Elephas maximus indicus: one gene and its partners. The protein of the gene in region 2 binds, or shares a complex with, the protein of the main gene of each other region. Links are inferred from orthologs where the notes say so. Each region holds a gene or a part of one and is shown on either strand. Other genes may lie near its edges. The genes, in order: THOC6, THOC1, THOC7 and SARNP.

What was found.
Region 1: the proteins of THOC1 (region 2) and THOC6 are in contact, whole or in part, in a cryo-EM structure (PDB 7APK), measured with the Homo sapiens proteins. The link is inferred for Elephas maximus indicus from reciprocal best matches to the Homo sapiens genes THOC1 and THOC6. Residues at the interface, in NP_005122.2 of Homo sapiens: Ser227, Pro229, Ile230, Asp231, Tyr232, Leu234, Arg236, Val270, Ser273, Tyr274, Asp309, Leu312; in NP_001334633.1 of Homo sapiens: Leu57, Ser58, Ser59, Glu60, Pro312, Glu313, Lys315, Thr330, Asn331, Gly333, Tyr334, Ala336.
Region 3: the proteins of THOC1 (region 2) and THOC7 are in contact, whole or in part, in a cryo-EM structure (PDB 7APK), measured with the Homo sapiens proteins. The link is inferred for Elephas maximus indicus from reciprocal best matches to the Homo sapiens genes THOC1 and THOC7. Residues at the interface, in NP_005122.2 of Homo sapiens: Leu10, Arg14, Glu46, Gln53, Arg56, Glu60, Ile63, Ile64, Asp99, Asp102, Cys103, Leu104, Pro105, Arg146, Gln151; in NP_079351.2 of Homo sapiens: Tyr47, Gln51, Leu54, Ser55, Ser58, Gln59, Phe62, Gly65, Lys66, Leu69, Val70, Met73, Arg76, Glu77, Asn80, Ile84, Ile88.
Region 4: THOC1 (region 2) and SARNP share a complex: the UniProt entries of both Homo sapiens proteins name them as parts of the transcription/export (TREX) complex. The link is inferred for Elephas maximus indicus from reciprocal best matches to the Homo sapiens genes THOC1 and SARNP.

Annotation. Positions count from the first base shown.
Region 1 is NC_064830.1:60,085,691-60,092,867, forward strand, and holds THOC6 (THO complex subunit 6 homolog), read left to right. Parts: upstream 1-4,141; 5' UTR 4,142-4,344; coding exon 4,345-4,383; intron 4,384-4,896; coding exon 4,897-5,012; intron 5,013-5,127; coding exon 5,128-5,192; intron 5,193-5,277; coding exon 5,278-5,381; intron 5,382-5,466; coding exon 5,467-5,504; intron 5,505-5,586; coding exon 5,587-5,635; intron 5,636-5,768; coding exon 5,769-5,840; intron 5,841-5,927; coding exon 5,928-6,030; intron 6,031-6,112; coding exon 6,113-6,162; intron 6,163-6,242; coding exon 6,243-6,305; intron 6,306-6,407; coding exon 6,408-6,518; intron 6,519-6,600; coding exon 6,601-6,735; intron 6,736-6,808; coding exon 6,809-6,889; 3' UTR 6,890-6,969; downstream 6,970-7,177. Other genes in the region: TNFRSF12A (tumor necrosis factor receptor superfamily member 12A), read left to right, coding at 524-617, 1,372-1,476, 1,683-1,876. UniProt on the Homo sapiens protein: Component of the THO subcomplex of the TREX complex which is thought to couple mRNA transcription, processing and nuclear export, and which specifically associates with spliced mRNA and not with unspliced pre-mRNA.
Region 2 is NC_064829.1:26,423,689-26,430,694, forward strand, and holds the start of THOC1 (THO complex subunit 1), read left to right. Parts: upstream 1-3,882; 5' UTR 3,883-3,913; coding exon 3,914-3,967; intron 3,968-6,226; coding exon 6,227-6,300; intron 6,301-6,394; coding exon 6,395-6,455; intron 6,456-7,006. UniProt on the Homo sapiens protein: Component of the THO subcomplex of the TREX complex which is thought to couple mRNA transcription, processing and nuclear export, and which specifically associates with spliced mRNA and not with unspliced pre-mRNA.
Region 3 is NC_064838.1:69,157,801-69,165,080, reverse strand, and holds the start of THOC7 (THO complex subunit 7 homolog), read left to right. Parts: upstream 1-4,146; 5' UTR 4,147-4,260; coding exon 4,261-4,279; intron 4,280-7,280. UniProt on the Homo sapiens protein: Component of the THO subcomplex of the TREX complex which is thought to couple mRNA transcription, processing and nuclear export, and which specifically associates with spliced mRNA and not with unspliced pre-mRNA.
Region 4 is NC_064822.1:115,787,059-115,794,395, reverse strand, and holds the start of SARNP (SAP domain-containing ribonucleoprotein), read left to right. Parts: upstream 1-4,287; 5' UTR 4,288-5,715; coding exon 5,716-5,760; intron 5,761-7,337. UniProt on the Homo sapiens protein: Binds both single-stranded and double-stranded DNA with higher affinity for the single-stranded form. Specifically binds to scaffold/matrix attachment region DNA. Also binds single-stranded RNA. Enhances RNA unwinding activity of DDX39A.

The DNA of each region.
Region 1 (7,177 bases), on a different chromosome or scaffold from region 2:
CTTCCTACCGCTGTGACCTCGGCAATTCACACCTAACCTTCCCAAACCTCAGTTTTCTACTTTGCAAAATGGAAAAAACAAGCCTGCATTTTAATATGCTACTGCTTCCTAAGGTGCGGTTAAGCGGCACGCGGTAAACTCTCAATGAATGTTAGGGATTATTTTTGTTCTGTTGTTATTGTTAAGCCTCTGGGGCCCTTAAGAAAGTTGCCACCATCTCTGCGATGAGAGCTGTTTCGTGTCTCTCTGATGGCCGTCCCCCTCTGGACTTGGTACCGAGAGGGCAGGCCCGCCTCTGCGACCCTGCAGGGTCCTGGGCGCAGAGCTAGTGTTTGTTGAACGAATGACAGACCTTAGCCAGTTTGCAAGGCGGGGCGCTGGGAGACTGGCTGGGCGCTGTGAGGAGCGGGGCGGGGTGGGAGGAGGCTCCGCCCCGGAAGGCGGGGGCGAGGCGAGGACGCGCTGCCTCCAGCAGCAGGCTGGCAGAGGGAGCAGACGGCGGCGGTTTGTGGACGCGCGCACCATGGCTCTTGGCCCGCTGCGTCCGCTGCTGCGGCTTCTCGTGCTGGGACTCTGGCTGGCGCTGTTGTGCGCTGCGGCTGGGGAGCGGACGCCAGGTACGCGGGCGCGGGGCCGGTACCCGGCTTGGAAATGTGGGGGCCGCGTGGCTGGGAGGACCCAGGGCTGGGGGCAGGGGTGCCGAGTCTGGGGGCTTGGGAAATGTGGGCCGAATCTAGGGGAACGAAGCAGGCATGAGAGTCCGGGGCCAGGTGGTCTCCAGGCACCGCATTCCCTGGCTAGGGGAGATCCCATCCAGCTCTAAGCTTCATCCTCAGTCCGGGCCTCAGTTTTCCCTCCTGCCTACGTCGGGGGCTTCTTCCTGAAAGTCGGGGCTCGAAGAGGGGGCAGAAAAAAGTTTGTGGGCGGGATGTCTCATCTGCTAACGGGTCACGCCCCCAGCCTGCACAGTATGGGGTCTGCTCATCCCCAGTGACCCGAGATTGGAGATGCCGAGAGACACGGGCGTCTTTGCCCCCTATGCCATGTGGGGTGCCCCCTTCCGTCCGTCCGGTGACTTAAGTGCCCAGCTATGCGGGGGGAGGGGCCGGGGTCGGGCCTGGTGCCCGGGAGTGAGTCACCCGCCAGCGACGGGTGGGGGCTAGGTTGTGGAGGACCTGATCCCTCCCCCCTAGAGACTGGCGCTTCTCTCCCACATCCCACTGCCGTGTCCCAGACGGGCCGTGCGGTCACCTGTGAGGAATGCGGGGGAGGGCGCTGGTGACTCAAGTCATTCGAGCCGGCCGACCCTGACCTCAGCCCCCAGAATAGCCGCGCCCCGCCCCAGCATCTGACCCGAGGCCCCCTCCCCAGGTGCTGCCCCCTGCCCCCGCGGCACCTCCTGGAGCTCGGACCTCGACAAGTGCATGGACTGTGCGTCGTGCCCCGTGCGGCCACGCAGCGACTTCTGCCTGGGCTGTGAGTGGGGGTGGGGTCGGACCCGGTGGACCCTGGACCCGGAGAGAGGGATGCTGGGGTGGAGAGGGGACTGTAGGCTTTCCATCTGGAGCAGAATCCGGAAGAGGGAGAGTGGGGAAGGGGCTCTGATCAGAGCTGTGAATGGAAGGGGAATGCATGAGGCTCAGATCTGGGGGGTGAGGTCTCACTTCACATCCTGTCCCCAGGTGCTACAGCCCCTCCAGCCCCCTTCCCGCTGCTCTGGCCCATCCTGGGGGGTGCCCTGAGCCTGGCCCTTGTGGTAGGGCTGCTTTCTGGCTTCCTGGTCTGGAGAAGATGCCGCAGGAGAGAAAAGTTTACCAGTAAGTGTGCCCCAGCCTGCCCGCCTCTGTCACTGTTCAGTTTCTCCTTCTCACTGTGACCCCTCTTGTCTTGCAGCCCCCATCGAGGAGACTGGCGGGGAGGGCTGCCCAGGTGTGGCACTGATCCAGTGACAGTGAGCGCCCCCTGCCAGCCTGTGCTCCCACGCATTCATTCATTCATTCTGGAGCCACCCCTTGCCTCCCAGACTCAGCCTGTGCCAGGCTCAGCCAGCCACCCGGAGGGGTGATGGTGGTGAATCATCTCTGAGGCCTGAGGTTTTGGGGAGCCTTCCAAGGTATCTCTCATTGCCTGGTCTCAGGCTCCAGGACAGAAAGGAGCCCCATCCAGCTCACACACTATCGACCACTGACACTGAGGAACTGCAGCATTTGCACAAGGGGGTCTCTACCCCCCATGCCCTGGGGGGCCAGGCCGACCTGAAGGGCAGACACAACACTAGGCCCCACCCATTCAGATGTGCTGAAACGCTGACAGGGGTCTCAGCCTGGGGGGTTAGGGACCTGCTCTGAACACTAGGGGCTGGCCCTCTAGGGGGGCCGGCTCTACCACACTGCCTCTACTAGCCCCCAAAGTGGGGAGATATTTATTTTGGGGAAAAAGTTTGAGAGGGAGGGAGAATTTATTAATAAAAGAGTTTTTAACTTTAAATGGCTTGGAGAGTGGCAGGGTCCCAGCTCGACTTCCCTGGCTGGAGGGAGGGAGTGAGTCAGGCAGCCGCGGGGGTGGGGGCGAGGCTCTGACTCACACATTCTCAATGCCTGAGCCCAGCCTGCCAGGGCCTGGCTAAGCCCAGACTGTTTTCCAGGGAATATCTTGAGGGAGAAGCCACGCATCCGGCACCCCAGCTCTCCCTAGGCCCCAAGTGAAGCCTTCACTTGTTCAGCAGTCTTTATTCAGTGCTCCTCAGTAGCATGCCTTCTTCCCCAAGCTCCTGCCCCTCCTGCCCTCCCACTCAGGGCTCTGTCCTCAGTGTCCTCCTTGGTGGGGGGGAAGGTCCTGATGCCCAGAGGCCTGGTCTGGTGGAGGAGGAGAAGCAGGGAAGCTTGGTGCTGGTCTCCCCTATGTGTGGAGAAAGGCAGGTGGGCAGGACATTACCCACCAGTACTCAGAGCTCCATTATGTCCCCAGCTGTGGTAACAGAGTAGTGGGGGATGGAGTGTCCCCCAGCCTCAGCAGCTGGAGGGCTTCAGGGATCAGGTTCCCAGAGTAGCACCACAGATGGAGCTCAGAGCAAGGGCTCCTGGAAGAGGAAATGACAGGGCAGGGCTCGGCTGGCCTGGCAGAGCCACCCCCCACTAGATCCAGGTCACCACCCTCCAAGGAGTCAAGATGGGAAACAACCCAGAAGCTAAAAATAGCAGGATGAGGCAGGGCCTGGAGGCTGGGCTGAAGACCAGTGTGATCCTCCAGGGGGCTGGCAGGTGGAAGGTGCCCACCTGAGTGGGGGTAGGACTGGAGGTAAGGCCCTGAGAGGGCTGCAGTAGGGGTGGTGGTTGTGCAGTCTGAGTTGAGAGAAGTGGGTGGCCATGTTCTCCTCGGACAAGAACTGCTTGTGCAAAGTCTCCCTGGGGAAAGAAGGGAAGGCAGGTTGGCTGGGATATGGAGAGGGGAGGCAGCCTGATGGGGGTCAGAGGTGGGCAAGGTCTAGTTGGGAGTCCCTCCTTGCCTCCAAACTCACTGCACCTCCTCCAGGCGCCGCTTGGTGCTCATGGGCACAGCTTGGAGAGGGAAGCTGAGAAGAGACAAGAGCCAGGTGCATCCCACCCTCCTGGCCCCATGCCAAGAGGATCTGCCCGCCTGAGCCTGCAGCCTCAGCCAGCAGCCCCCATCCCTGTCTTAGCTGACCCCCTAAGTCACGTCTCCTCTCCTGGGCCATCCAGCAGCCCTGAGCCCCCAGCCCCATTCCAGTCTCAGTTCACGCCCAAGCTCCACCAGCTCACCCGCCATGTGTCATACTGCAGACCAGCCCTGAGCCCCCTGGCTAGGCCCACCCCGGGGGCCTCACACGCACCTCGCGTCCAGGCTCCAGGTCGCCCCTGAGGCAGCACTGGGGTCGCGCTGGGTCCGACCCCGGGGGCCACGCTCTAGGGGCTGCGGCAGGATCTTTGGGGCTACCCGTCCTTCGAGCAAAGGGGAGGGATCCGCCCGACAGGGGCGGTGCCTTGGGGGGGCGTGGCACGGCGGGAGGCGTGGCCTTGGCGCGCGCAGCAGTGAGCATTCACGCAGGCGCGGAAGACGGGCGGCACGCGGCTGGAAGGCGGGTCTGTTCAGCGGGGTGGGGGAGGGGATCAGGCGTAGCAGGGCTACAGGGGGCGCCACGTAGTGCCGCGGCCTTCAAGGTGCTCATCTCGGTTCGTGGGGCTTGGGGCGGAACGCGGAAACCACCTTCGCGCCGGACCGGCGGCAGTATTGGGACGTGGGGCGCCGCAGACGAGTTGGTCGCGGGCACGTCCGGACTCGTGAAGCCGCGTCTCACGAAGCATTCTGGGACTTGTAGTCCTCGAGATGGAGCGAGTAGTGCCACAAGCGGTTCCTCTGGGTCAGGTGAGGCAGGCACGGGACGCAGGGCATTCTGGGGTTTGTATTCCAGGCCCGGGTCGACCGGGCGGGCGAAGAATCATGTCCCGAGCCCTGTTGCGCGTGGGTTGCTAGTGGAAATCGGACTCAGACCGGGAGCCAGAGGAGTACCCCAGAAGTGAACACGTTTTTAAGTATTGGGGACAAGAGAACCACTTCTTAAGCGCTTTTTACATGGCAGACCCTTTGCGATGCTGTTTATATACATTAGCGCATCTAATTGAGACACAAACTCCAGTGAGTTCACTTGATACTTGAGGAAACTGAGTAGAGAAGCTAGGGAGCTGGCTCGAGGTCCCATTAGGTAGCACACCTGAGCTCTCCCTTTCCTCATCCTCTTCTTGGCGCCTCCCAGGGTTGTATGGGCAGGCGCCTGCGGGGTGGGCTGCCTTGAAGGAGGGCTGAGAAGTCTGGACAGTGGGGGGCTGGGCTGTAGCAGGGCTAGAGGTCTGCAGGTTCTTATCCCACCTCTCCTCCCAGATGGAGGTGTTTCAGGCCCTGCAGCGGCTGCACATGACTGTCTTCTCCCAGAGTGTGTCCCCCTGTGGGAAGTTCCTTGCGGCAGGCAACAATTACGGGCAGATTGCCATCTTCAGGTACCCATGGCCCCTGTTCCCCTGCACCCACTAGTCCTGGCACTCGGCCTTCCTGGGACTGATGCTCCCGGCTTCTGGCTCTTGGGCCCCCTCCCCTTTCCCTTCTCAACTTCAGCTTGTCCGCTGCTTTGAGCTCCGAGGCTAAAGAGGAAAGTAAGAAGCCTGTGGTGACCTTCCAAGGTGGGTGCAGCTGTCAGGTCTGGCTTTGGGGATCCCAGGGTGGAGGAAGGGGCCAGATGGGGTCGCTCAGGTTCTTTCCCTTTAGCCCATGATGGGCCCGTCTACAGCATGGTGTCCACCGATCGACAGCTAGTCAGTGCCGGGGATGGGGAGGTAAAGGCCTGGCTGTGGGCAGAGATCCTCAAGAAGGTAAGGAGTGTAGACCTGGGGAACAGGCTGGGTGCCCAGGCCCAAGGAGAGCCTTAGAGGTCACTTGGCGTTTTCTACCATGAAGGGCAGCAAGGAGCTGTGGCGTTGTCAGCCACCATACAGGTGAGCCAGGGCCACGTGGGGGGAGGCACTTGGGTATGTAGGCACCCTTGAACCAAAGCGGACCTTGCTTTTCCTCCCCCAGGACCAGCCTGGAAGTGCCTGAAATCAATTCTTTGCTGCTCGTCCCCAAGGTCTGAGGCCCCCTAAGTCCTTTGTGATTGGGGGCTCCGCCCTGCTGTGTTCTTGGCCCAAACTTTGGTCCTTCCACCTGTCCCCGTCCTGATTTGTCATTGATTTCCAGTCCTGCCCTGCCTTTCTTTGCAGGAGAATTCTCTTATCCTGGCTGGGGGAGACTGTCAGCTACACACTATGGACCTTGAGACTGGGGCCTTCACGGTGAGCAGGGCCTGAGAGCCAGGGGCAGGTCACGTGGGGGCGGGGTGCTTTCTGGACCTGCTCCTGACACAGCCCCTCTCCCCGCAGCGGGCCCTCCGGGGCCATACGGACTACATCCACTGCCTGGCGCTGCGGGAGCGGAGCCCCGAGGTGCTTTCGGGTGGTGAGGATGGGGCCGTGCGGCTTTGGGGTAAGGGGCTGGCTGGTTGGAGGGAGAGATGGTGGTGGGGAGGATGGGACAAGGATGGCACCCCTCAAGGTTCTCTCCACAGACCTCCGCACAGCCAAGGAGGTACAGACAATCGAGGTCTATAAGCACGAGGTGAGGCCATGCCCCAGCCCCATCCTCCTTGCTCTTCCCCAGCTTCTCTGTATCCGCAACTCTCTTCTTCCTCCCTCTAGGAGTGCTCCAGGCCCCACAACGGGCGCTGGATCGGATGCTTGGCAACCGACTCAGACTGGATGGTGAGCTGGCCAGAGGGTGGGGTGGGATGGGTGGCAGCTCTGGGCCCTGCTTTCAGGGGTTCATGGCTCACAGCGGCCGGGGACCCCTGCCTTTCTGGCCAGGTCTGTGGAGGGGGCCCAGCACTCACCCTTTGGCACCTGCGGTCCTCTACACCCACCACCATCTTCCCCATGCGGGCGCCACAGAAGCACGTCACCTTCTACCAGGACCTGGTAGGCTCTCTGTCTCCTTCTGCCGCCCTTGCTGGCTCCCGTCTCCAGCCCTGACCCTTGAGCCCTCTCTTGCCCTCTACAGATTCTATCTGCCGGCCAGGGCCCCTGTGTCAACCAATGGCAGCTGAGCGGGGAGCTCAAGGCCCAGGTACCAGGCTCTTCCCCGGGGCTGCTCAGCCTCAGCCTCAACCAGCAGCCAGCGGCTCCTGAGTGCAAGGTGGGTCCAGTGAAGGGATGGGATACTGGGACGCTGGGGTTGGGCAGGGCCCTCATGCCCCTCTTGTCTCCAGGTCCTGACAGCTGCAGGCAACAGCTGCCGGGTGGATGTCTTCACCAATCTGGGCTACCGTGCATTCTCCCTGTCCTTCTGACCCACCAACACACCCTTCACCCCAGGAGTTTGGAGTGCTTTTTTTCCCTTTCTTTTTAACAAATAAAGTTTCCAACGTTTCTTCCATGTGCTTCCTTCCCAAGAATGGAGGCCAAGCTGGTGTTGTGATTTATATATTACTCTGTCTGATCTTGATACATAAATACACATTGTCATCCTGGCCTGGAGAGTGCCCAGTGCTTAGAAAAGATAGACCTATAGACTCCTAAAATAGGCAGCTCTGCCCCACCACCCACCTCTTACCCCTGGCCCCAAAAGCTGGCCCCTG
Region 2 (7,006 bases):
AAAGGTCGAGTTATCCTCTCTTTTTTAATAAAAATATTACATAACCATTGTCACATGATGAGGTGATCAAAGAACATGGACTCAAAAATGTAAAGGAAAAGTATGATAAAAGCATACCAGGCAGTTAAATAATACTGCAGTTTTTCTGGATTTGCGATGTTTGTGACATTTATAATGTACTTTCATTTTTCTCATTCCCCAAAATTATTCACTTTCATATCAATTTTTTATCCATAATTTGTATTCTTCTTCTTCTTAAAGACCATCTCTCCCAAAATGTATAAACTTCAGGCTAGATCAACCCTTCCTCTGATGTCTATTTTTGCTTCTATCATCAGTAATTTGTACCTTAAAATATATATACATCCATACATAAAGGCTTATACATACACATATACACACTCCATACAGAGATTGATTCTGCAGTTTCCTTTGTTCTCTAACTTTTTTTATATGATCTATATATTTTTTAATTTTCTTCAGTGATCTTAGAGGTATAGAATCTATTATTTTAGATTCTATTAACGCTTACCCTTTAGTTTTTTTTAAATACAGTTGATATACTTGATCCCACATCATTTTGTGAAGACTGTAATTTATTTTGGCTCCCCCTTTGATTAAGAAGTCAAAAAAATTTTTCCCTATATTAGATATCCCTTGGCCCTGCCTCCCATCCTCTGGGCCCACTTTTACACTTGCGACTGCTGTGACATCAGCTCCACACAGGTGAAAATGACAGCATTTCACCTCAGCTGCATCATATCTTTTTTTCCCTTGCCCAGGGCTTCAGTAATATTATGTCATTGCATAGAACACCTGTGAGAACCCTCTATGGACTCAGACATGCCAACAGCAACATTCCATGAAGCAGCCTTTGATGAATGAAAATTGAAGCCAGATGATAAATGCTGCCCCCATTTCTTCAGGCAGGCAGTTTTGAGGTACATAATTTGAGAGTCACCATCACTACAGCATTAGAAAGCACCCACTTACCCGGTCACTTCCTGATCACATGAGCGCTCCTGTTCACATCTACCACCGCTCAATTCACCCCTCTCTTCTCCCATGTATCCAGAAAACATCAACCAACTACCACTGTTCGGGGCAAAATCCAACTAGACTTCACCTGGCTCATGGGAGGTAATGCAGGTGTATACACCTGTTAGACCATAATCTCCAGCAGACTGGATCATTCAAAAGCTAATCCATCCCATTCAGAACTTCAGCAGGCAGTCCAACCTTCTCATTTTGGGACTAAGGAATGAAAAGGAAAGCAAACAATAACCCATACAATTGTAGATGAAACTCCCCCTCACCTCCTACATTAATTAGGACTTTTTTTTTTTTAATGATTTTATTTTGTTGCTGTTAATGTTGAGAATATACACAGCAAAACATACACCAATACAACCGTTTCTACATGTATTATTCAGCGACACTGATTACATTCTTCAAGTTATGCAACCATTCATACCCTCCTTTTCTGAGCTGTTTCTTCCCCATTAACGTAAACTCACTGCTCCCTAAGGTTCTTATCTAATCTTTCAAGTTGCTGTTGTCACTTTGACACCATATATAGTTTTTAAAAGAGTATAATGCTCAAGGCAGACTTTTTTTTACTAGTTAAGCTAAACTATTACTTGGTTTTAAGGCTGCAGGGAATGTTATTGGTTTAAGGTTTAAAGATTATCTCAGGGCAATAGTTTCAGAGATTCATCCAGCGCCCTTGGCTCCAGAAAGTCTGAAGTCCATAAGAATTTAAAATTCTGTTCTACATTTTCCCCCTTTTGATCAGGATTCTTCTATACAATCTTTGATCAGTAATGGTAGCAGGGCACCATCCAGTTCTTCTGGTCTCACAGTAGAGGCAGTTGTTCATGAAGGCAATTAGCCACATATTCCATATCCTCCTCCTATTCCTGACTCTCCTTCCTCTGTTACCCACCTTACTGCCATGAAGTCAATTCTGACTCATAGCAACCCTGCAGAACAGAGTAGAATTGCTCCATAGGGTTTCCAAGGCTGTAAATCTTTATGGAAGCAGACTGCCACACCTTTCCCTAGGTTTGAACCATCGACCTTTCCATTAGCAGCCGAGCACTTAACCACTGCACCATCAGGGCTCCTCTTCCTCTGCTGCTCCAGGCATAATTAGGACTTTTTGATAGCAAATGAAGTCCAACTCCAAACAGCATGAAGCTATAATAAAACGGATTTACTGGCTCATGTAACTAAAATGGATGGTGGTGGAGCTGTCATCTGACATGAAAAAGTCCAGTGCTCAAACTGTGCTGTAATCAATCTCTCTTTTCATCATCTCTCCCTCCTACCCATCTGTCTTCCCTACTTAACATTTTTATCTTCGTCTCTCTTCATTTCTTAGTCTATTTTTTCATCTTTAAGCTCTGTGTCTATGCATTGGCCTCACTTTCTTCTTCAGTAGATGGACTCTGTTCAAATGGTAGGGAAGATGGGAACAGTAGCCCAATATTCACCAAGGCCCCTGAAGTAAGAGGAATTGTGCTGGGCAACCAGTATGGCCAAAGGATATCATCCAACTGGCTGTTCAACATCCAAGTGCCCTTCCTAGTATAAACCCCAGCTCTTCTTGGGTTTGGATTTTGTGAAAAAAATTTTTTTTTTACTTCTGAGGTCTCAGCTATGTTCCAGATTAATAATCATTTTTAATGTGATGATAATCATATTACATCAATTACCTTCAGATTAACAAAGTATATTTTTAAACTAAATCCTTTTTGCTAATTTGGAAATTAAAGTTATACAATAAAACCTGAATGATTTGATTGGTTCTAAAAATAGACTGCAATGCTCCAGCTAGCCATCAGTATGCACAATTTCCACTTTGCGATAAGGCTCTGTGGAAATTATCTTTTTATTAGCTTCCTTTATCCTTGTTGGATGTAAATAAAGGAACAGGCAAGATACAGCAGGTCTAGCTTTCTTCACTTAGGTACATGCGGAAGCAAAGTTTGGGGTCGGTGTCTCTTACTGCACTGCATAACCCTAACGGAGTGTTACTGCCAGTAGGTTTCTCACTGGCCACATCTCTCTTGTGAGAGGAGGAAAGGGAAGAAACTGCTTAGGAGGCATGGTTTTGCAAGGGCTGCCTCTGCCCTGGACCCAGTGCCAGCCACTTTCGAATCAGCGCCGGGTACTGCACTTCTGCTCCGTCTTTCTCTTCAGTAGAGTCCTATTATGCGCCAGTAAAGTCAAATGAAAAGTTGACTTTAAAGTCATCTTGATTCCAAGAGTAAAAATATTAATAATAAACAATACTTACATCGCTTTTACCAATTTATAATGCGCGTAGTATTCATTATCTCATTCCAGCTTTTCAACAGCCCTGTGAGCCAAGTATCATTTCATTCCACAAGGCTAATATTCAAATCTAGAGTCCTTCACGACTTCAAATCTCAAGCTTCAGGCTGAATGACTACGGTTCGGCGGCCACGGCCATCATTTCCGCAGCTCGTTGTTTCTACCAAACGCACACACCTTAAATTCTCGGACACCAGTTACCTTCCTGCGCCGCCCCTCTGAGGCCGTAATTAGCCGCCATTCACCCAGCTTTCCAACCCCAGGGAAACCACCGCGATGCAGGTGGGCGACCCCGCTTTTTCCCTGCCCGGCAACGCCGAGCAGGCAGGGCGAGGCCGCCCACATCCCCCAACCCCAAGGGCCATACCCGCGAAGGCGGATTAAGCACTGCTTGACCGACTCAGACTTCCAACGCCCACCCGAACTCACGCGCCACGGAAGCTCTCAACTCACAACTTACCCGCCCCACGGTTCACAGGCCGCTCTAGCCGCACGGAGCTGCCAACTCGCTGCTCCCGGCCTGACGTCATCGGCGGGCGCCGCAGCGCGGTGGCGGGCGCGCGCTGCCGGGAAGATGTCTCCGACGCCGCCGCTGTTTAGTTTGCCCGAAGCGCGGACGCGGTTTACGGTGAGCTTCGGCGGCGGGAACGTGCAGGCCTGAGCCGGCGTTGTTCTTTGCTCTCCTGTCCTTCAAATTACTCGAATTTTCCCCTGGGGTAGAGCGGGAACAGAGGTGTGTACGCCTCGGCGTCTACTCCCGGCCCCGTCGGAGGCTGGGAGATAGGGAGGGGTGCGCTCCCTAGCTTTTTCGCGCGTCCTTTGCTGCCTGTCCCCGCCCTCCCGCCGGCAGGTCTCAGGACCCTGCGTTCTGGGTGCATTTGCGCTTTGTGTGGAGATCTCACCGGAAGAATACCTCCGGTGCGGTCCAGCTCCTCTGCAGTGTTAGCTTAGCGGGCAGGTGTCTCCAGAACTAGAAGGGGAGCTGCTGAAGGGGGAGGGCGGGAGTGGCTCAGCCTGGAGAACCGGTTCTCGCCCGAGTTTCTAAGCTGCCGAGGTGGTTGTACCGGCCGCCGGTTCACCACCCTTTAATCTTCCGTATCTCAGTCCCAATAGATGGAAAAGACGACCCTAAGTGGGGAAAAGCAAACAGGTCAGCTTGGGAAGGGTTACCAGATGTCACCGTATTCTTGCGTGTTGGAGAAGGGTGGTTTAAGCATTTGGGAAACACCGTTCCGAGCGCTTTCACGTTAGCTCATTTAACTCTTAGACTAGCACTGTGATAGGCTAAATTTTATTATCACCAGTATGTGAGATAGAAACTGAGACCCCCAAAAGATGTTAAGTGGTTTACTTCACTGATTCTTCTGACTCCAGACCCAGTATTCTTTATGTTGTGCATCGCTGCTCCCATTATGAAGAAACACTGTTCTTCCTAAGTTGTTTGGCTGTATTCTTCTTTAGCATTTGTACCAGTATTTCAAGGCATGGTTCAACTCTTCAGGTATTTAACTGTGATTGGGTGGTAATAGTGATGCCAGAATGAAAATTCTGTGGAAAAAAAAATTATTCTTTGTAGTCAGTCGTTTTCTTTCTGCAGGTTTTTTTTTTCCATATAGTGTGGGGTTTGTTTTTTAACGAATTATATAATGTCTGTGTGATCATAATAATTTTTTGTGTGTTTTTCTGTCATCCTTGGTGCCTTGAAATTCTAGGAAGAGTAACAGCTAAGAGTAACTACTAGGAATATCCAAGGTCGTATTAGTCCTGGAAAGGATGGTGTAATTTGAGTTCATCTAGTCCAGTGCTTCTCAAACTTTAGTGTGCAGTAGGCTCACCTGGCTACCTTGTTCAGTGCAGGCTCTGGTTCAGTATCTGGAGTGGGGCCTGAAATTCTGCGTTTCTAACAAGTTGCCAAGCAATGCCACTGCTGCTGCTGGTAGTATGGGTCTAAGACAGCCCTCTTATTTTATTGGTGAGGAAAATGAAGCAGAGAGAGTAAGAGATATGTCCAAGATTATACAGCCTATTGGCGCAGGACCAGGCAGTATTTCATTCTGTAGTCCATAGTGTCATCGTGAGTCGGAAGATACTCTGCAGCACCTAACGATAATGATAATGACAAATTAGTGGGAGAGCCAGGAATGGACATTTCAGCATAGCTCTTAACTCCTCTAGAGTCATCTAACACAGTGACTTTCCAAGTGTATGTGAATTTTCACAGAACGAATGACCTTACAGTATTTGTGTCTTTAAATTATGACTACTTTAAGATGGTCAGCAGTTATTTATTCAGTGCTAATTACATGTCAGGGACTGTGCTGAGCAGGCTACATAGAGAAGACGGACTGGAGGTGGGTCTTGAAAAACTTATAGAATTTGGATGAGAAGGTGGGAGTATGAATGTGAACACACTAGAATGAACTTGATAGAAAATGATGAAAAAATGGCTAGAATTTAGTGTAGCGTTTCATGTTGGAGAGTAGTGGGGAATAAGATTGGATAGACCGAGTGGGATAGCATCAAGGACCTTGAGAGGTAGGTATGAAAATTCAAAATGAAAACATATGAATAAGAAGCCATTTGGAGTTTTTTTTTTTTTTTTCCAAAGTAGAATGCCATCATGAATGTGATAGTTAAGGGGATGATATAAGGGGATACCTGGAATGAGAAAGGCTAGCTAGTACGCTCTTGCCGGGTTTAAAGTGATGAGGATTTGTATTAGTTGGTGCCATTTGGAATAAGGATCATGAAGAAAAAGGTGTATAGGTAATTTTTCCCAGGTATAAACATTTTTTTAGTTAGGCATACTAAGCTATATTAATAATTATATTTTTTTAGTAAATAATAACAAAATCTTTCTACTTATTTGCCATTTTTATTTTTCTAGAAGTCTACCAGAGAAGCCTTGAACAACAAAAACATCAAGCCATTGTTGAGTACCTTCAGCCAGTTACCTGGCAGGTAAGGCATTGACACCTATGAAAATTGTTTGCCTAAATCTTTATGCTTACCCTGAGCTGTTTAAAAAATGAGGCTGTCTTTCTTTCCTTAATAGTGAAAATGAAAAAAAATGCACTCTTGATCAAGCTTTCAGAGGTGTTCTAGAAGAAGAAATTGTAAGTTTGGTTTTCCTTAATTGTTAAAATTTTGCCAACAAATTACTAATCCCAGAGTTACTACAAAAAAACATTGCTTTTATTGTTAGATTGGATATTTAAACATGGTTAAGGCACCTTTTTTTATTTTTTGTACAGTGCACTTGCTACTTTGTGAAAGTGGACTTGGTCATAGTATATAAAACCGGAAAACCAAACCCACTGCCATTGAGTTGATTCTGACTCGAAGCAACCACATAGGGTTTCCAAGGCTGTAAATCTTCATGGAAACAGACTGCCATACCTTTCTCCTATGGAGCCCACTGTACCACTAGGGTTTCTTATAGTCAGTGTAGGCGTTGTATAATAATTAAGGATTTTGATAGCACAAATGCAATTTAAGGGTTTGGTTTAATAAATGAAGAAGAGCCCTCTGCAACTGAGTATAAAAAGAGTGTGGCTTGAGGTCTTACTGAGGAAGAACTATAGGTTAAAGTTGAATTTTCTGACTTTTCTGTGTAAACAGTGATGTATAGTGGCATAGATGTTCCAGTCCAAGAATGTTCAACATG
Region 3 (7,280 bases), on a different chromosome or scaffold from region 2:
CAGTCAAGATGCTAGGGAGCCGCTACTGTCTCTTTTTGCCCAGCATCAGTGTCCTCAGCTTTTCTAACCACACCATTTCCTTCAACCTTCCCCCAGGTGTCTACACTGCAAGGACCACTTGTTCCTAATTCATTTTTTAAATCCAATTTCTTGAAATGTTTTAACTTAATACTTTCAGCATACCAATTTTAATAACTTATTATCAAATAACATGACTCTACTTTTTTTCACGTTTGCTCAGGTATTTATTTTTGATTGTTGTGGCAAATGTTACCCAAACCTAGCTTCCAGGTCCCTCCTATAGGCCAAATGAGGAGCTCAAAGTTTTTTACAGAAAACATCATGCCACCCTCCAACACATACACGTTATTAGGTGGGCGCTGTTCAAATGAGGTACCGGAAGGTAAAGCAGGTAGAGCAGCTACAGTGAATGGGGGAGCCCAGATTTGAACTGAGGTCCGCCTTGGCACAGAAACTATGTTTTCCCCATCATGCTCTGCAGTCCTGCCAAAGTACAAATGTGTTTTCTTAGGACAATTACTTCCTAGGCAAATTTCAAATTTGCTAGAAGAGCAAAAAAGAGAATGGAGCTGAAAGAACCACTTACTCCAAGGGCTGGCATCATACTCATGTCTCTGCTTATCCATTGTCAATTATCTGGTCTGAATTTTTAGATATAATTTAAAAACAGCCACAGTGGCCCCAGGACTGGCACAGCAGGCTGGCTTGCCCTCTGTGTGTATGCATGGCCTATCAACTGCTGGCAACGCTCTCCTGTAGGAAGAAACCCAAGAGTTTTTGCACCTCCAGGACATCCTGGCTGGGGGAAGACAGCTTTAAAAGGCAAGTACTGAGCACAAAGATCCACTTTTTCTTAATTCTTTTCTCCTAAGAATGAGTATTCTTAACTTCCATTCTATTTAATAAAAAAGGTATGTCTCACTTTGACCCCTGGATCTCTTTTATAAAACAGGTATAGACAGACCCTCTCCCCAAGAAAAATACACATACACAAAAAAAGTTTTGGTCACAACTACAGAGGCTTCAGGAATCCTTTCAAGTCCACTCATGGGTTCCTGGAGGCCCACAGACCCTTCTTCTAAAATAGAATAACCCTTCTTCTAAAAGCGTATGACAGAAACGCCTTCATCGTTTCACAGGCCCAGGGTGAAGCCACCAGCCAGCTCCCTCATCATTCTTTACACTTTCTGAAGGTAAATGGTAAATGCAGACTCAGACTAACCTCCTTGACTAGCCCCTCATACTCTCAAAGAAAACAGAATGATTTGAGTAAATCAAAGTCACTAAATCTAAGGTCATACAAGTTCAAAGTCCAGATCAGTTTTGTTATAACTTAAAATCTGCTACTTCCATTTCTGTGTTTCTGTCCACAGACACCTCCTTAGAAACAGAACTTCTAAAATTTACTAAAATATCTTCCCTTGCTATAAACTGTTTTTCTAACATACATGCATACGTGTGTGCGTGCATGTATACACACACAATATGAAGACAAAGCAATTAGAAAAATTCTTAAATGTTCAACACAAATTTGTGTCAATGCACTTGTGAATTAAAGTATGTAGCTGGAAAAGGAGATTTTAAAGAGGCCATAAAGGTTCACATTATGTTGTGTTTCCCACTACTGAATCAAGAACTTTCAGGAATGTTTATTTTCAAGTACACCTCATACTTTAACCCTTTCACGCTCACAGGTACCTGTAGGGACCAAGCACTTTTTTCTGCCTCTGAACGTTTATGGGAAGCTGCTGGACCACTGACAGTCTGTGCCACCGAAAGGCAGGGGTCTTTAGGACTGTCTGAGGGTGAGGAAACGGGAGTGTCCTGCAACAATTACTGTTTTTGCAGGGTATTGTACAAAGTGTCTGAATTTCTGGTAGGAAAAACAAATTTTGAAAATTTTTATTTGTTACATATATGTACTAATAGGCCCCACTGGGGACGCTGGGGTATAATTAACGAACGCTACTTCATATGCACTGCTGAACATTTAGAGTAGGCTTTTTTTTGTGGGAGGGGGCAAGGAAAAAAAAATCCATTCTACCCACCAAAAATTCAGATACACTCAATGATTCGGCACGCTTCCCTTAATGAAAACATACTATCAATAAAAAATTCAAAGCAGAAAATAATTGGTTCACAAAAGTGTTAAAGCAGGTCTTTGAACAGGCAACTTCAGGTTCAAAACCCTGCTGAGAATTTCCATTTCTAACAAGTTCCCACGCAAGGCTAAGGCCGCTGGTTAGGAGCCAATTCTGAGAATCACTAGCAGAGTAGTGGTTCTCAAAATTTATTATAAGAATCACGAGGGGATCTTGTTAAACTATAGATTCTGATTCAGTATATCTGGGGTGGAAATGCAAATTCTCAGCAGGGGTTCAAAACAGAAGAAACAGGTTTGAAGTCCTCCTTTAAAGTCTTGGTATTAATACATTAGAAATTTCTGAGCTCTGTCCAACAAAATTATAAATTACTAACTGAACTTCTGAAAGTGTCTGCAAGGCTCTATCTGTGAAAAACTGACAGAATGTCTCGTGAAAATACTTCCGAGGGGCAGTAACACATTCCTATAAAAACATTAAAGCTTATTTTAAACCATTAGATACTGTTTCAAAATCAGTATTATGATAAAACCGAGTAACAATTTAAAAAAACATCATTTCATCACTTGACAATTACCTTTTGAACAACAACAATCCCCACTAAAATGTCACTGTGGCTAGATAATCGATTGAAACTTTCAGTTTACTGTTTGTAGTGAAGATTTAAAGCAATCCTTCTGGTTAGCGTTCCCTCTCTCTAAAACCCAGTAACTGAACAGTCTGATGCCATGTGGAGCCAGCGTTTGGGCCCAATAGTGTTTCAAAGCCAGGGGAGGTTTCATATCCTAGGGGAGGGCAAGTGAAACCTCCGAATCTTCACTCACGGTAATTTAAAAATCGAAGGTGCTAATTCCTGTCACCGCTGTGAATGACACTATTGAAGTTTCTGGACTCGTGGATGTGTGTAAAATTTTGCATACGCCGACGTCTAGCTAGAGATTGAACACACTTTACAGCCATACGTTTGCATTTACAGCTCGTCCTCTTTGAAAGAACTAGGGAAAACAGGGAGGACCAGTCCCTGCTAGTAAAATACAATCAACAAAATTGAAACCACCGAATCCATCCTATACGACTGCTGCATCCGGATATGAAGACGCAGACAGTACTTGGGAGGCAAGAAAACGGGAAGAGAGTCACGACATGGCTCGGTAAAACACCAGAGCCGGCTCGGAGCTCAGCCCGGCGTCTTGCGCTAACTACCCATCGGTCCACCGAGGTCAACCCGGCTGCGCCGGTGCCCGGCTCCGGGCCGCCCCTCACCACTGCGCCGCTGCCACCTACGGGCACCTCGGCCAGGTGGGAGCTGGGGGACTTCGGGAAGGGATGCCAACAGCATCTGCAGGGCGCTCCGGAAACGTGTAACTCTGCGCGGAAACCAGCGTTTCTCATTGGGCCCCCACCCCTTCACTTCCAACTTCCCCTTAACACGGGGACGGGCGCACAAGACTTTTTTTTCTTTTTTTAAAATCAAAGCAGCAGATGAAAGCAGCCCTCGGTGGCCGCCGGCGGGTCCCGCTCCGTCGGGGAAGGGGGTGCCCGGCGCTGGTGCTGGGCGCCGCCCCCCAGGCCGACAAGTTCCTCTCCCCTTCCCGCTCCCCAGCACCTCTCAGCCCGGGAAGACGGCGCGGCCGCAGGGCCCGAGGCGCCCCCCGCACCCGGCCTCCCCGTGGCCGCCCCGCGCCGCGCAGCCCTGAGGAGACCCGCCGGGCGCGCGGGCGCCAACTTCGCCGGACCCTCGGCCGCGCGCCCGGCTCAGCCCGGAGCCCCCGCCGCCCTCAGCACCCCCGGGCGCCAGGCCCCCCAGCGGCGGCCGGACGGGGTGGTCCCAGGGAGGGAGCTCACCTGGCGGCGGGCGGCGGCCTCCGGGCGGGCGCGAGGGGCGGCGGCCGGGGCTGCACGGACGCCGCCGCCCGCCGGGACTCGCCTCCACGCGCCGCCCCCGGCCGCCCCGGCTCACGAGGCGCGGGGGGCGCGGGTCCCGCGGCGGCGGCGGCGGCGCGGCTCAGGCGGCGGCGAGGGCGGCCGCGGGCGGCGCCTCCTCCTCCATGGCTGTTTACCCGGCTGCATTGTGGGAGTTTGACCTCCGCCGCCGCCGCCAACCGCCGCCTCAGCTGGCGCCGCCGCCGCGCACGCCATGGGAGCCGTGACTGACGGTGAGGCCCCCGGCCGCCCCGGGACCCGCTCGGCGCCCCGGCCAGGCCCCCGGCCGCCCCGGAGAGACCCTAGTCTTTCTCCCCGGCCGCCTCCTCAGGACCCCCCGCCGCTCCCCCGAGACCCTCGGCCGCCTTGGGACCCCGGCCTCCCCAGTCAGACCTGTCGGTCTCCCCCGAGACTCCCGGCCTCCCTGGCCGCTTCCGGGAGCCCCTGGGCCTCCCCGGTCAGACCCCTCGGAGCCCCTGGGCCTCTCCCGAAACCCCCAGCCGCTTCCGGGGGCGCTGGCCTCCGCCCGTGTCCCCCGAAACCCCCGGTGACTCCCGGAGGCGGCGCAAGGCATGGAGAGGGGGTGCTGGGAGGGGGCTGGGCGCCCACGTGGGGCCGGGGCGGCCGGAAGCCGGACTGGGACCCCGAGGAGGCCTGGGCTGCCCGCGAGGTGACGGGGAGCCCTTGTGGGGGGTGGGGGTTGTGGAGGGCATGGAGCTGGGGGTCCGAGCGCCTGTGGAGGGCTGGAAGGGGATGGAAGCGCAGGGGTCAGGCGGGCTATCGGGGTGTGGAGGCCGACAGCTGGAGGGGTCCTCTGGGCAGACTGGGAAGGGGCCCCGAGCTACAGTGACTGGGAGTGGGGAGGGGCAGCTGGGGACGTCATCTGAAAGGAATAGATGTGGATGGGGTGCCTGGAGGGCAATCTGGGAGTGTGCCTGGAGACTTATTTGAAAGACGAGGAGCCACTATTGGGTGGGGGCAATAAAAGATTTGTGTGTATCCTAGGGAAGGTGGTTTGTTGGTTGGACTGGATGGAGGGAGGCTGGAGACAGAGGCTGAGTTTGTGTACAGTTGTGAGGGCAGCTTAGGAAGGTGGACGTGGTCAAGAAGGGCCCAGGGGGTGGTCTAGGGACTGAGGGCAGAAATTGTGTGGCACCCTGGGGAAGGTGGACAGGTATGATGAGCAACTGGGGGAGAGCCTAGCTTGGGGGAGGGGGTCTTTGGTCACCGGGTCTGTTAGAGGAGAGGGTGACCAGTAACTATAGATGCCTGTGGAGAGACCACTTCTGAAGAGTGGGGGCAGACAGGGTCTCCATATTAAAGAGCTGGGCAATGGAAGGGAGAGTGCTGAGCCCAAATTTGTGGATACGGTAAGGAGTAGGGGAGGTGGGAGGCTGTGAACGATCCAGAAACCTCATGAGGAGTTTCAACTTTGCTTCATTCCAGTTTCATTTATTCAGTAATATTTATCCTAGCTGGGCTAGGCCTTGGGATTACAGCCCAGAATGAACAGGCAAGATCTTTCTCCCTTTGAGGTTACAACCATTCCGCGGGAGAAAGGTGCAGCAGTCCGCTTCCATAAAAATTTACAGCCTCCGAAACCCTATGGGGCAGTTCTACTCTGTCCTGTAGGGTCGCTGTGAGTCAGAATCTACTCACCAGCAATGGGTTTGGGTGTTTTTTTTTTTTTTTTTACTTTTCTTTCTTTCCCAGAACCAATTGATTTCTCACCTGTTAGCCATGTTATTTTATGCATGTTGCTGCAGTGGTCCTCAGTCTGAATTTATTTACATGCCTTATTCCAGAAAATATTTACTTCAGCTCACCATAGTGAGAAAATACAGAATAATGTAAATAGATGATAAAACAGGGCAAAAAGGACATTGAGACTAAGAAAAACAGGAGGAAGCCAGACGCGGGGCAATCTTTAAAATGCAAGAAGTGAAGTGTGGTGCGTTAGTTAAGAAAGCTACAAGTGGCTGGGCTCCCTTAGCGGCCCATCCAAGAGGTGAGACCTTTCCACTCTGTGAGCCAGTGTTGGTGACAGAACGCAGCATTAGATACCCTGGACAAACTTTTCGTCTGATTTAAACACTAGAGAAAAAGTTTCTCTTTGAGGTCCTCATAAAGAGGAGCCAGTGTCATTCTTCAACCCCTTTGTTGGCACTGAGAATCATGGGCTGTTTCTTAGCACATCTCTGTTATAGGGGAAAGTAGGCTAAATCACAATTCAGAAAGGCGTGTTAAAGCCAATAAATAGCCCGTGTGGTTAGGTGGGTAGCTCTGCTGGCCTGGTTAATCCAGAGCAGAGTTTTTTGCTTTTTGTAAGAATATTTTAGACCATAAAAGGAAAAGACAAACCACAACGTCTTTGGGCAGTCCTCTATAACATGGGTTTCCTCATCTGAGCTTTTACTAAAAATCGAGATGTGAATAGTATGTGTGATCAGTAAACAAGTATCTATCGCGTACCTTATAGGCACAATGCAGGATGCTGGGGTTACAGCAGTAAGCTAGACAGAGTGCAGCCCTGCCCATTGGGAGAGAGAAGCAATAGCATGCAAACAAATAAGTAGATAAGATAGTTTGTGAGAACGTTATTAAGTTCTGAAATTGATTATGTTCTGAGAAAGAATGTAGTGTAATGATGACAAAGTAATGGGGAAGAGTGCTGACAATTAGGTTAAGATACAGCCATCAGGTAAGACCTCTCTGAGATGTAACATTGGAGGTGAGACCTGAAGTGGAAGAAAAGGAGCTAACTATGTGAAAAGCCCAGCAAAGTGTTCCAGGTACAGACAATAACTAGTGCTTTGTGCCCTTTAGGAAGATAAGGCCAGTAAAGCTGGGTGCAGGAGGGCCAGGAGAAGTGAAGTCCAAAAGGAGGTCAGAGACATACACCAGAGCTCCCAAAGAGCCGTACAGACGATGGGAAGGAGGCTGGATTGCCTTCTGTTGGCACTGGGAAGTGATGGGAGGACTGTGAGCAGGAGAGTTAGCAATCTGATACATCTTGTAGATCACTCTGGACTGCTGTGTAGAGAATAGATGCTATGCAGGCGAGAATGGTCCTGAAAAGTTCTTGGAGAAGTACCAGTACCTGTCCCTGGAGCTTAGAAGAGGGTTGATGCCATCTTATGAATTTGAGGTTCCTGGCAAGGCACAGTGTCCTCATGTAGTCCTCACCCATGGGCCTACGTATTCCACTGGACTGGGAGCTTGTGCAGACGAAGC
Region 4 (7,337 bases), on a different chromosome or scaffold from region 2:
GCGTGGGCGCTGCAAGAACTTGCCCTGGGCTTCTGGACTGGTCTACAAAGGGACCTAAGCTCAATGCCTTGAGAGATAGAGCCCTAGCCCCGACTCCGGGGTGTTTCTGGTCATCTGAACGTCGACCTTTAAATTCGTGTTAGCTTTAAAGCTGATGCCTGGTTAGGAGCAGCCCTTGCCCGCGCCTCTACCTAAAAATACCTAAACTCTTTTGAACCCGCCCCATACTTCTCCCAGCTTCCCTCTCTCGTTCGTCAGGTCCCCTCAGGGCTCTCTCCAGCACTCATCTCTCGGTTTGTAACTCCCCCACACCTCCTTTCCCCCTCCCACCTTTTTTCCTCAGTAACCCCTTTCCAGTCTCCCGGTAGCCCCTACCTGACAGCTCCCCTCCTACAGCACGGCGCTCGCTTCCACACCTGTAGTCTCCAGGAAGCAGCCGTCCCCGCCCATTTGTACTCTCCCTATTGGTGGAGCAGAATCAGCGCTTCCACCACCCATTGGCTGGCGGTCTGCAATGGAGACTCCAATTGGTCGCTATTTCCGTCGTTCAGAAGCGGCAGAACCCGCCCTTTTCTCTGTCCCACCTTTTGAGAGAGGTGGGGAAAGCTGCTGAGAAGAGCGAGAGCGACACCACTTCTTGACTAATGGGAAGAGCTGATGGTGTGGGGTGGAAGTAAGACTGACAGCGATTGGTCCGCCGTTTTCTGCGCGTAAGCGGGCGCTCTTGGCGGCAGAAGGGGCGGGTGGGGGCCTAGTGGAGTAGAGGGGGTAACAAGATGGCGGCGGAGACGGTGGAGCTTCATAAGCTGAAGGTACCGTGAAGGGGAGAATGGCTGAGTTGGACTTTTCTGGAAACTGGATTCTGCAGAGTGGCTTGCGCCTTCTTCTGCGTGTTCTCCTTGTAGCTTTTTTCCATTTTCTTTTCCCTCTCCCGCCGTAGTTAGTCGGCTTTTCTTTTGTGCCTGCCGTCTTCCCACTACTCCTCTACTTTTCCGTTTTTCCTCGTGGCTTTACAGTTATTTTTACTTGTTATTTCGACTTCCCAATTTTCTTAATCGCTGTATCGTCGGTCAGCCTTCCCCACTGGGTTGTGTAAGTGCCTTCTACCTGTTATACTCCTTTTTCGTTTCTTGTCAGAGGTGCATTACGTCAGCGGCCCCCTCTTTTTCCCCCTGCGCCGACACGGGACCCCCCCTTTCTTCCGAGTTGATGCTTCCCGTCTGTTTATCAAAGTTGAGATTCCCCTATTAGGTGATTGCACCTTTGTGTATTTGTGTCGAGGACCGAGACGTGATCCAGAAAATGCTTCCACTTCTTTTTACAGGTGGGGTTACGCCCCCGGAGGCTAACTTTGAAACCTGGGCGAGACCTGGGGTTCAGGGGACCTTAGCAGTTAGTAAAGGCACAGACACCTCAGATTTAAAAGTTTTTCGAGTTCTCTTTGTGGCTCCCGGTCCTCCAGGCCGCACCTCCTTACCTCCCCCCTTGGAGAAAGAACCCTTAGCTTCAGTTCTGTGGAATACAATGCCAAGGTTAGGTTTGTCTCAGTCCCTTGCATATCGCGTGGATGGACCTTGCATCTCTTGATATCACGACTGACACTCCGAATCACAGAAGCTATTTAAAGTTATGGGTCTTGGTAGCTTTCTCACATTTAGATTATCATTTTCGTTCAAGAAAAGAGTAGTTTCTTTTAGGGCGAATTAACTTGATAAGTTGTCCATTTTTGGTTTCACAAATAGTTGTCCCATCAGATGTTTTGGTCACGTTCTGGGAATCGTGATCGAAACAGGCCGATTTAGCCAAAAGTGAAAATTGATCCTTTAGAACTTGATGACCAGTAAGTTTAAGTAGTAAAGATAGAGGTCCTTTCTTTAATCACTTATTAGTTGACACCAATTATCCTTTCTGTGAAAGCCGATCTATTTCTTACCGTTGATTTCTAAATTGTACTAGTGGGTTTTTTTTGTTATGCTGGTGTTACTGCTAAGTTGATGGTACTGAAATGGGTAGGTTATATCGGTGGCCTCTTAATATCATGATGAGTAAAAACAAATTACGCCACCACCTTCATTGTATGTATACTTATATATAAATTACATACATACTACTGTGTTGTTATGTATATTATAAAAAACACACACAAAAGGAACTTTTGAGTGGATGAGATGAAAGGAAATATGAATAGAAAACTTAGTATTTTCTTCCTATTCCATGACTTGCCTTTTTGGATTTTGTGTTTATAGAGTTCCTCCTTCCGTCAAATCTGTATTTTTCAGATCTATATTAAATTTGCATTTAATTGGTTAAGTCGCTTTTACAGAATGTCCTCTGACCTGATTTCAGGTTTTAGATATTAAGAACATGAGGCATTCCAGGCAGCCTAAAAAGGACTCACCCTTTTAATCACATTTGCTTGTCTTTGCTTTTTCTCTAGAGTACTTCTTAACCTTTTGGAGGTCACAGATCTCTTTGAAACTCTGATGAAAGGTATGGACCCTCTTCCCCCACAAAAAGGCATGTATACATATTTTGCATGCAATTTGAGGGGCCTCGTAAAACTACCTGGTAGCCCTGAGGAGTCCATGGACCTCTAGTTAAGAACTCATGCCTTTAATTCTGACTTTCAGGACAGGTGATAGAGTGATCCTGACTTTTGGGTTGACTTAGGGTTTTATCTCTTTCTTTTTTTTTTAAACCTTTCCATTTTTTATAAAGGGGGTTTGGGGCTTTAAAATGGGACCTGGAGTTACTGTTAAGGAACAAGATTTGAAGTGAACGAAAAATATTATCTGTCTAAATTGGCACTGGAGCCCTGGTGGCACAGTGGTTGAGAGCTCAGGCTGCTAACCAAAAGGTCGGCAGTTCACATCTACTAGGTGCTCCTTGAAAACCCTATGGGGCAGTTCTACTCTGTCCTATAGGGTCTCTATGAGTCGGAAACAACTCGACAGCAACGGGTTTGGTTTTTTTGTTTTTGGTTTACACTGGCAATAAAGATTTTATAGAAGTGCAGTCATGCTAGCACAGTTGGAAAGAGACAGAACTGTGGATGTGGGTGAAAATGTCTTTTGAACTGTAACAGTACCAGATTTCTAGTCAAACATTAAAAAATGGACTATTGCAGAGGAGAGGAGAGAGGTATAGTAGTGTCAGTGTTAAGAATAGTGAGACATTTGCATTATTGAAGCATAACGTGCATATATGTGGATAGCTGAAGATAGTTTGGAAGGGAAAACTAGGTGAACTGTGTGACTATAAGGGTGGATTGCACTGATACTGAAAAGGGCCTTCTAAGTTGTGGAGCCCTGGTGGTGTAGTGATTAAGAGCTCGGCTGCTAACCAAAAGGTCAGCAGTTTAAATCCACCAGCCGCTTCTTGGAAAATCTATGGGGCAGTTCTGCTCTGTCCTATATGGAACAACAGCATCTAAAACAACGAATTGTGTAAGGAGTTTGGCTTTTGTCATGTAGGCAGAAGGAGGATGATCAGACCTGTCTGTGTTCTACTGGCAGTGCAGAGGGTGGAATCTGGAGGGGGACAGATTTTATCATTACTTCTCAGCTTAAAACCTTTTAATGTCTCTCCAATGTAGTTTATAACACTCCAACCACAGTGGCTTTATTTCATTTTCTCAGAATGGCTATATTCATTAATTTCTAACACTAACATATCATTTACTATGTGGCAAGCACTGGTCAATGCTGTTTACATACATTAACTAATTTGATAAGGTAAATACTACTATTATCCCATTTTAAGATGAGAAAACTGAAGTGCAGAGAGATTAAATAACTGATTAAGTAATTTGCTGTATGTCACAGCTAAGTTGTGGTTCACACCCAGGCAGTCTGTCTCAAAAATTGATGTTCTTAGATCACCATGGACTACTGCCTCTTGTTTTTACCTCAGAATCTAGAACCTTCACAAATGCTGCAGTTTCCTTTTGCCTACAGTGCTCTTGCCACCTCCCACTCCCCGCAATACCTTTGTCTAATCAACTGCTAGTCACCCTTCAGATATCATTCAAGCATTGTTTACCCAAGGAAGCCTTCCCTGCCCTCTCTATCCATGCACATGATCAGACCTCTTTTCATACGCTTTTATAGAGCCTTGAGCTTGTTTTTTTTTTTAAGTCAGTTAAACACTTTTTATGTGATCATTAATTGCCTTGTTCCCCTACTAGATTGTAAGTTCCATGCAGGCAAAGACTTTTTTTCCTTATGATTATTTTCCTGTATTTAAGATAATGCTTGATTCACAGTAGGTGCTCAGTAACTATTTGTCAAAAGACCTGAAATAAGGTAGTGCTTATTAGAATGGGAACAAATTTGGAATGTAGAATTGTATGAATTTATAGATTAGTTAAATGTGGGAGGAATGAAAGATGACTCCAAGATTGACTCCTTTAGGTTGGGAAGAGGAGGAAGAGCCAGTCTTGTATAGGAGAGAAATTTAGTTTTAGGCTTAAGAGTCTTTAGGACGTCACTTTGGAGATGTCTAGTAGTCAATTGGAAATATGGGGTTTTTTTGCTGAAGAGCTGAGAGTTTAGGGGTAAAAGTCTGGGTTTCATTTTAAAAATACTTATTGAGTACCTACTACGTGCCAGCTACCGTAAAGGTGCTAGGAATTCAGCAATGAACAAAACAGACAAAAATCCTTGCCCTCATGGAGGTTATATTTTTCTGGAGAAGGCACAATAAAATGGTGATATGGTCTGTAGAGAAAAACAGGAAGTACAGTGGGAAAGATGCTGTCATTCTAAATAGGGTGACCAGGTAAGGTCTCTTTGAGAAGATGTTGAAGCAAAGATTTGAAGGAGGTAAAGCAGTGAGCCATGTGGAAAGTGTTAGAGGGGTAGCGTAAGGGGCCACGTGGCTTATCGAAGTGAGCAGTGCTAGTAGGAATAGTAGAAGAGGGGTCACAGAGGTAATGGTGGGGAATGGGGAATAGATTGTGTAGGGCCTTGTAGGTGATGATTAGGACTCTAGCTTTTATCCTTTATGATATGGAAAACCAGTGGGGGAATTTTTTAATAGAGGAGTGACATGACTGACTTCAATTTTCTTTTTTTGTGTGAACATTTTCTTGTTGTTTAGGTTAAGTTTACAGAGCAAATTAGTTTTCCATTCAATAATTTATGCACAGCTTGTTTTGTGACCTTGGTTGCAAACTCTTGAATGTGTCTGCACTCTCCCCCCTTCCTTCCTGGCTTCCTGTATCCATTCACCCAGCTTTCCTGCCCCTACCATCCTTCTGAGCTGTGTTTTTAGGCAAATGCTGCCCCTTAGGTCTCATATAGTTGATTGTTCTGAGATGTACATTCCTCACTGGTGTTAATTGTTCATCTTATAGGCCTGTTCTGCTGTATGGCTATAATGTGATCTCTGGGAGTGATTTCAGTTCCAAGTTAGAAGAGTGTCTAAGGAGTATAGCCTTGGGAGCTCCCCCAGTCTCTATCAGACCAGTAAGTCTGGTCTTAGTTTGAATTTTGTTCTGTATTTCTCATTTCATTCTGTCCATGACCTACTATTGTGGTCTCAGTCAGAGCAGTCAGTAGTGATAGCTGAACACCATCTAGTTCTTCTGGACTCAGGCTGGTGGAGGCTGTGGTTCAGGTGGTCCATTAGTCCTTTGGACTAATATTTTCCTTGAGGCTTTGGTTTTCTTCACTCTTCTTTGCTCCAGACAGGAAGAGACCAATTGTATCTTAGATGGCTGCTCGCAAGCTCTTGAGACCCCAGGTGCTGCTCAACAAGGTAGGATGTACAACATTGTATGGAGTAAGATATGCCAGTTGATCTAGATGTCCCCCGGGACTATTCTAACTCTCAAGACCAGTATCTCAGTCCCATGAGGTATATGGTTATGGCTAAGACGTTTTCATGACTATGTCCCTTGTGTGCACAACTACATACATGGATGTGTTTGTAGCATGTACACATACGTATGTCTGACTTAAATTTTCAAAGAATCAATCTGACTAGAGAATAAACTATAGTGAGATAACAGCTGAAGAGGTTTTTACAATAGTCTGTATGATAGGAAGACCTGAGGAGTAGTGTTCAAGGTGATGAAAAGGAATTAGATTCTAGATATATTTTGAAAGTAGAGGTGACAGGATTTGCCAGTGATTGGATTCAGGGGAGTGAACACGTTTGTTACAAGTGAAATGAGAGCAAAAGAAGGAATCTTAGTGAATACCAGTATTTATGGGGTTGGGTAGAGCAAGAGCTAGTAAGGAGGCTGAGGAAAAAACCAAACCTGTTGCCATCCGGTCAGATTGATTCCAACTCATGGTGACCCCAAAGGACAGAGTAGAACTGCTTCATGGGGTTTCCAAGTTGGTGGATTCGAACTGCTGACCTTTCGGTTAGCAGGCCAGCGCTTAACCACTGTGCCACCAGGGTTCCTTTGAGGCTGAGGAGGAGAGAGAGGTAAAAGAATCAAGAGAGAGCAGTGTTAGCACCTTAGTAGTTAAGATTATGAGCTTGAATCACAGAGACCCTAGCTGGCATATTGGCTCCACTGTTTACTAGCTGTGTGATCATAAACCAACTGAATCTGTTTAAGTCTCATTTTCTTAATTTATAAAATGGGGATCATAATACCAACTACATAAGTTTGTTTTAAGGATTAAATGAGAAAATGCATTCAAGGTACTTAGCATCTGGTCTGCTACATACTCCAAAACCCATTGCTGTCGAGTCGATTCTGACTCATAACCCAAAAAACCCAGTGCATAGTGACCCCATAAAACCGTATTGTTGCAGTCAAGCCGATTCCAACTCATAGTGCCCCTATAGGACAGAGTAGAACTGCCCCGTAGAGTTTCCAAGGAGTGCCTGGTGGATTCAAACTGCTGACCTTTTGGTTAGCAGCCGTAGTCCTTAACCACTAAACCACCGGGGTTTCCAGTGACCCCATAGGGTTTCCAAAACTATAAATCTCTACTGAAGCAGACTGCCACATCTTTCTCCCATGGAGCTGCTGGTGGTTTGAACTGCTGACCTTTTGGTTAGCAGTGGATCGCTTTAACCACTGCGCTGCCAAGGCTTCTTATGGCATTTACTAGTACTTGAAAATAAATACGTGTTTGAGTTTCTGCTATGTGAAATGTTGTACATGATATAAAATGTCTGTTCTCTGAGAGTTTACAAACCAAATGGAGAGATCAAACCAAACCAAACCTGTTGCCGTCAGGTCGATTCTGACTCATAGCAACCCTATAGGACAGAGTAGAACTGCCCTATAGCGTTTCCAGGTAGCGGCTAATGGATTCGAACTGCCAACCTTTTGGTTAGCAGCTGAGCACTTCACCACTGTGCTATCAGGA